2 linked regions of the Caenorhabditis elegans genome follow. The protein of the gene in region 1 interacts with the protein of each later gene in a pairwise test. Each region holds a gene or a part of one and is shown in the gene's direction. Other genes may lie near its edges.

What was found. Proteins that work in one complex are often made in the same cells at the same time.
Region 2: the proteins of his-71 (region 1) and C04A11.1 interact in a two-hybrid assay, tested with the Caenorhabditis elegans proteins (one large-scale study listed by BioGRID).

The regions. Positions count from the first base shown.
Region 1 is NC_003284.9:7,980,835-7,983,686, reverse strand, and holds his-71 (Histone H3.3 type 1), read left to right. Parts: upstream 1-1,616; 5' UTR 1,617-1,632; coding exon 1,633-1,704; intron 1,705-1,750; coding exon 1,751-1,904; intron 1,905-1,956; coding exon 1,957-2,141; 3' UTR 2,142-2,305; downstream 2,306-2,852. UniProt on the Caenorhabditis elegans protein: Variant histone H3 which replaces conventional H3 in a wide range of nucleosomes in active genes. Constitutes the predominant form of histone H3 in non-dividing cells and is incorporated into chromatin independently of DNA synthesis.
Region 2 is NC_003284.9:13,658,649-13,663,493, forward strand, and holds C04A11.1 (Protein hu-li tai shao), read left to right. Parts: upstream 1-1,857; 5' UTR 1,858-1,898; coding exon 1,899-1,934; intron 1,935-2,209; coding exon 2,210-2,362; intron 2,363-2,724; coding exon 2,725-2,826; intron 2,827-2,901; coding exon 2,902-3,005; intron 3,006-3,102; coding exon 3,103-3,153; intron 3,154-3,650; coding exon 3,651-3,852; 3' UTR 3,853-4,332; downstream 4,333-4,845.

The DNA.
Region 1 (2,852 bases):
AGCCTTAAAAACCAACAAATCTCGTTTTTTAACTTTTGTTCTACAATATTTGTCCTCTTCTGTTGTATACAATTCACCTTTCAGGGTCTTCTTTAATGTATGTGTTATTAAAACTGCCATTAGATATCAGCCACTTTCCAACCAACTTTATGTTCTTTCTAACCAACTTTACCCACTTCTCAACCAACTTTTGCCAAGTCCCACACTCGTTTTCCAGTTGTTTAGAACTTAAAAATGCTTACCCATTTAACCAACTTTAGCCAACTTTAACCAACTTTAGCCAACTTTAACCAACTTTCGCCACTTTTGTAAATGGCCGTTAGAAAGTGGCTAAAGTTGGTTGAGAAGTGGCGCCGGTTTACCAAACAGTGATACAAATAAACAACAAATTTGAAATTTCCATTTCCTTTTCAATAGAAAATTAAAACATTAAAAATCCGTTGATAAATAGTGCCGTCGTTTGTAGGAAAATTCAATATTTCCTATTGAGGCTTGTTTGAACTAGGGGGTGCGGCGAGTCGCCGAAGCACTGACCACCTGCAACCGGTGGACGTAATATCTTTGTGAAACACTATTCAGAGCACTGTTTATTATCTCCTGACCGTTAATATCACAATCCTGGGTAAACTTATTAATTTTTCTTTGGCGATATTTGGTCATTTGGCCTGCACTTGCCGAAAATAACCGACTTTTGCCATAAATCTTTGGGATAGTTGCCGCATTCGCCGATCGCCAAAAAAAACTCAAAACCGGCAAATGCGGAACTCGCCCGATGTTTTGAAACCGGCGAACACCAAATTCGCCAATAATTCCGCCACGTGACCTGTTGTTTTAGATTTAGTGTGCTACGTAGAAAACCAAGTGTTGATAGCAAATTTAAATAACGGATATCTGTCATACAGTTTTCGTATACTCTAATACTATTCTATAATTTCCAAGGCTACACTAACGTTTTTTCTCACTCTACCCAATATTGTCTCCACACTCTGCATTGCCTCGCTCTCGCTCACAGCCATCTCACTCTGGTCTTTTTCCGTCTCACTATTTCTCTCTCCTCTCTTTCCTCCCATTCAATCAAATTGAATCGAACCGAAAGCTTTAGTTCTTAATATTCTTGCTGGTCTGTCATTTTACAAAAATCGCTAACCTTTAAAATAATTATTGATATTTTACTTAAATAGTTAGAATAGTTAAAATATGACCTAAAACGCTATACATCGTTAACTAGTCTTTGAAAAAATCCTCGAATGCTTAAACTTTTGTAATTTTTTGAATTCGTAAAATGTAAAGTATTTCTTATAAGATCGAAGTATAAAATTTAACAGTTATGATATGTTTTTTCATCAGTTTCATTAGTATCTAAATTCTCTAATTCTCTGAAAGTAATCACAAGTTTAGTTTTACTTTCTAATTTTCACATGGTCACAAGATTCCATATTCACTGGCGGAGCGTGCCGCGTCGCGGTCATGTTGAGTCGCATAATAACAGACTTGCGCGTCTCCGCATAAACACCACTTTTCTTCGTTTTTTCACGCTGTTCGCTTGCTCTTAGTCATCTCATTTTCCATATATTTTGATGCTGACTTCTATTATCAATATTGCGTATAATTTTCAGGTGAACCAGAATTGAAATGGCTCGTACCAAGCAAACCGCGCGTAAATCAACTGGAGGAAAAGCTCCTCGCAAGCAGCTGGCCACTAAGGTTTGTCATTATGAAATATTATTTTTTATCGAAGAAATAATTGCAGGCGGCTCGCAAGTCAGCTCCAACTACCGGAGGTGTCAAGAAACCACATCGTTATCGTCCAGGAACCGTCGCTCTTCGTGAGATTCGTCGTTACCAAAAGTCCACCGAGCTTCTCATCCGCAAGCTTCCATTCCAACGTCTTGTTCGTGAAATCGGTAATATTTATTGTAATGTTCTTTATTAATTAATCAACTGTTTTTATTCTAGCTCAAGATTTCAAGACCGATCTCCGTTTCCAATCCGCCGCCATCGGAGCTCTGCAAGAGGCTTCTGAGGCCTACCTCGTTGGGCTCTTCGAAGACACCAACTTGTGCGCAATCCACGCCAAACGTGTCACCATCATGCCAAAGGACATCCAGCTTGCTCGACGCATCCGTGGAGAACGTGCATAAACGTTGAGCTGTTTCGCCAATCTCTCTGAATAATCTATTATGTATCTCTCAATGTACTAAAATCTTCCATCTCTTAACTTAATCTCTCTTTTATTCTAGCCGAGAGTGCATGTTATTCTATGTTATTTTTTTTACAAAAAAGTAATAAACGTAAATATTTTGTGTTTCCTTGTTTTTGAACAGCGTGCATGAGTTGGGATTAAACATATTTATTTATCAAATCGTTGAGAATAAATAGAAATAATTGAAATCTTGATGAAAATCAGGAATTGAAATCTTTGAAGATACCGAAAGAGGCTAACAACTATAAAGCGCGCCAACAAATTCCGACTCAGACATAATTCCTTCAAATAGATATTTTTGAACGTTTTTTGAAAGTTGATTCTGAATTTTTAGAACTGGACCAGGTTACTTTTATCTTGAAAACATGCCATGTTTTTGGTGGAATAGCAAAATCTGGTAGTTTACTCTTTTAAGCAAAAAAATGCCCCAAAAAGTTAAAGCTTCGCAACGGGATGTTTTGAAATTTTGTCAAATGTTTTTTTTTCGGAATTTTAGCTTTTTATTCATTCCGCAATAGGTTTTTCGGTAATTAAACACGTTTGTTTTTTGTTCAGTTGTTGTGTTCTTTGAATAAATTTTCAGAAAAATCCTTCGAAACTAACGAAACTGAAAAGGGAGTGCTAGTACTAAAACATTTTGAACTACGCC
Region 2 (4,845 bases), 5.7 Mb from region 1:
CCTATACTCATACTCAAATGTTCAACCCTAACACAACCAGTCTTACATTTTCAAGTTTGTTTTCTTGAGTATATGTATTATTTCAACCACTTCTCCCTCACCTTCAAACCTTGATTTCGGTCATCCACTGTAATTAGTTCAATTGCCGGAAAAATTCTCGAAAACTGCCAAAAATTATGGTGGTCTGTGCCCCCGCTGTCAAGTGGCAATTTTTTTTCTGGTCGCTGCTGTATGAGACTGAAAATTGGCAGGAAAACATTAAAAGCATGGCGTGAAAGTTGAAATTTATGAATGTTTTTTTTCTTCTTGCTCTTGAAGTCTGAAGACCCATCAGACGAAACGAACATCCCATATTTTTTCTGCCTTTGTTTGTTGGTCTCCCCGCGCCGGAATCCCATTCCAGCACAAAACTTGTCACTTTTTCTTCCGTCTTCCTTTTCAGCCTCGTTTAGTTGTTTCTTTTTTTTTCTCTTTCTGACATTTTTTTTCTCGGTTTCCTTGAATTCGTTGCTGATAAAATATGTGTTGTCTCTTATGCTCACAAAAGAGCACCCGCTTTTCTCACATCGGACATCCTCCGTCCTCCCGCAACTCAGCGAGTTGAGCATTCCAAAATCTCCGGGGACATCTTCGAATGAATGTGCGTATTTGAGAAGAATAAGCTCAAGTGTAGCAGGCGCTAGATTCCGATAAGGAAAAGCATTTCGGGATATTATTTTCAAATTGTAAACAATGTTCAAGTCTGGGATTCCATCTATATTAAATCAATTCCAGTTTCTATTCCACAATAGTTCAAGCTCGGAATAAGATGAGACATATCCTTCTTGAATATTCATTAGTTTTAGACGCCTCTCATCGATTTTAGTGCACATTTTCTGTAACAAAAAGAACTCTTGGTCGAATCCTCTGAGCTCACTGAGCCTTCAAGCTCTATCCGATGTTCTTCTTCCTCACGAGACTAAATTTCATTTTGGGACTGCTGTTTTCTCTCGATGAGCCTTTTTTAAAGGCTTCGAGTTTTTTCCAATCGCTCATTCTATTTTCTGGGTAATTATTTGTACTGAAAGTGCATAAAAGGGATTGGATTTTTTTGTAAATTTTATTTCGGGAATTTGGGTAATTTTGCTACGATCAAAAAACGCAAAAAAAAAGTCAAAAAATTTATTTTGAATTCGAAATTTGTAAGGTCGATGTTACTTTTCTAAATTAAAGAAAGTTGTTTTACATTTTGAAAAATTGAAAACTAGTAAAAAAAGAAGAAAATTATGTGCAATATTGCTTTTAAATTTAATATTTTTTAATTGTGAAATTCGATAAAAATTTGATAAATGAAACTTTCACATTGAATCAACAACACAACAAAAAGTACTTATACCAGAAGACAATTGTTCTTTCACCAAATAAAACAAAGGGAATGCACTCATAGATTTAGAAGATAACCCCATATACTCAAATCTTTTAAATCTTTTCAAAAATCTGAGGAAAAGAGACATAAAAATTCGTTTTTGCGGCATAGCACCCTCCTAACCAATTCTTTGCCCTTTTTTATTTTTCTCTCTCCCTCTCCCTCTTTCTGACTTTTTCAAACTCATCCGTTCAACTTATTCTCATTTTTGCACATTTAGAGTGTGATATGGAATATTATGTGGAACTAAAACTGTACCGGGAAATATACTCTACTCTCTATCAGTGAACATATGAACTCTCTAGTCAGGTGATAAGTCTTAAATTCGCACTTGACATATATATTTCCAATATTTGTTGTATTGTTTTTCAATGTGAATTTTTTAATCCTCTTTGCCTGTTCCTCAATTTACATATTTTGAACAACTTTCGATATAGTTGTTTTTTCGTTACAGGGGAAACCAGCAACCATTATACCATTCTATAAAGATAGTATGCCGGAGACGGCGGCCGACTCATCCAGTGATGAGGTAAGTTTTTTTTTTTTGAAAATAAATTTAATGTAGTTATTTTACAAGTTTCAAGCGTTTTTATTTTTAAAATTTAATCCAACTCGTCATGTTTATTATAATGAAAGATTGAACTATTTCAATTGTGGTATATCAAAATATTCATACATTTTTACAACGTTTTTATATCCTTCAACTATTCAAACATCTGAAATTCAATGTATATTTACAATACATTTTCAATAAGAAAATAACTTGATTACATAAACTTGATTTAATCGATTAATTATTTACAGCATGACTGGCACGATGAGAAGGAAGATATGCTGATGATGGTGATGGTGGTGTTGCTCATGCTGCTCTCTGTCGTAATCTGGGTGGCCTTCTGTGTGGCCGTCCGAAAAACGGCGCGTAAATTCATTGAACTGAAAAGGCAAAGACGAAGACAGGTACGACAATCATTTTCACGTGTATACCGTCAGATTACACACATATTTTCCTAACTGGTATGGATTTTTATCCGACACGCTCTACTTGCAAGCGGCTTCACACACACTGCGAGATTTGAGATTTTTGTTATGCTTTTGATTTAGTTGAAAGTTTGAAAGAAGAAGGGGAACAGTGTGAATATGGGAAAAAATTATACACTCTGAAATACTTATGTATTGCTGAAAAATTAATCAAACATTTTTGAAATTTGACAGAAATTAATTTTTGAAATTGAATTGAAGCAAAACGCAAAAAACTATGAAAACATGATGTTCTAATTTTTTGATGTTGAGTTACTAAAATATAAAAATACTTTTTTCAGGCACTTTTAACAGCAGCAATCAACCGAGCAGCTTCGACAAATGAAGCGGACCGTCATAATGTACTTCCGATATACATAACAACATTGGCACACGAGCTTAATGTTGGTTTTTTGCCCTTTTTTTTTAATATTTCAACAAAAAATCTAGTTTTTTTTTCTAATTCTAATTATTTTCAGGTATTCGGAGCAAGAGAAGAAGAGCTACCAACTTATGAAGAGGCACTTTCTATGAGTTGCACGCCTAGTCCGAATCCAGTTGTTACAACTTCGAATCGAGATCGGTTAGTTGTAGACTCGCCATATATCTTCACATTAACCCGAATAGCTTAGCATACCTTCACATAACCCTGACATCAACTAATCCATTTTCAATTCCAGCGTGCCCCCATACAAGCCACGGTCTGGAAAGTCGGGCGGCCGAGTGCTCAGGTAGGGAAAATGTTGTCTAATACTTCTGTCAAGTGCTAATACTGTGTGATTGCGTGTGTGACATATAGAATTTCTTAATATTCGTGTTGCGTACAAAAAATAAATAAAATGAACAATGTAATTGGGAAAGTGATTTTTTTTTGGCGTCGATGACTAGGAAATTTAAACACCGTCAATTCTTCCATGAAATTTGTTGTTAATTACTTTACTTTTTTGAGTTTGAGTTCCATTACACAACCACAACAACAAAAAATAGTTGTTGGAAGTTATAAGAAGATTCTGGAAACATACTGACACCCTTGCAATAATTGAAAAAGCTAGCGTAACAAAACCAGGAAAGTGTAAAAACAGTTAAGAATTGTTGAAGAAAGTGAAAGCCATTCAATAACCAATCTTTTCAAAAATCGTTCTCAAAACCTACAAGTTCAAAACAAATGTTACTCTTAGAAAATTAACCTTTTTTGACTTAATTTACACTCATGTAATAAATTTTCCAGAATCGCTCCGGACCGTCCTGGTTCAATTCCAACAATAGTTCTACCGCCAAGCTACGAGAGCTCTGTCCGTCATGAAGCAATGCTTTCGCCGAGAATACATTCATCGCCGGTTCCCACCTCATCGAACGCCACCGCACCGAGCACATCCACTTCTCCGCCTATCTACACCATCTCTGGAAACATGCACGTCACTGAATGCTAGTTGTGTGTTTTTGTTCTCTCACTGTTTATTTTGAATATCTTTCTGATTAGTTCTTTCTTTCTGCACACCAGCACTTTCTCTCACATTTCATCAACTCGATTACGGTTATTTCAATCTTGAGACTTTTCAATGCTCATTCGAATTGTTTCAGAGAGAGAGTCTTCATACGGTTTTGAACATAGAAACCGTTTTGTAAATTTCTCTACTTAAATGTCATGATTCGTGTTATCTACCTATAACTCGGTAATATAATTATCTCCTCAATCCATGTCTATCTATTCTTCAAACTTCTACCCAATCATCCCCCAGTCAGCAAAATCGTACGGTTAATCCATTTCGCACCAAAAAATTGGTACAGAAACTGAAAACGGTCATCTATGCATTGATTCTACTAAAGTATGGTTTCGGTTTTCACGCTCGTGTACATGTTTGTATTTTTGCCATTTGTCATGTCTGTATAGAATAAACTGATTTGCATAAGCCAATGTTGAAACTGGAACAAAAATTGAATGAAAAAAACCAACCGGAGACCAAACAGGAGACAAGTGAAATTTTAAGTTTTTTGGTTGAAAGGAACACAAGAATGTAATGACGCGTAATTATTAAGAATACACAACTCACTAAATAAAACTACTACCTGGTACACATTATTGACATAATTGAATTGAATTGATTTTTTTTTAAATTTAAATGTAATGCAATGCAAAACACAATAAATCTCAAAGTTAAATGAATGTCTGAATCAGAATACTGGCCTCGAGAAAGTACATTAAAAAAAATTTGAGAAGCACATGAAAACGACTGGAAAAAAAAATAAGTAAAAATGTCCTTACTAATTTAAATTCTGCGATACGGTAATTTGGTACTTTTATATTTCTAATACCCAATATTACAAGCGAATGTACGTATAGTGTTCATGAAGATTATAAGAAGCATAACAAACTCATAGAGGAGGTTTGCACATAATTTTCAAAGAAACTGCAAGATATTCTA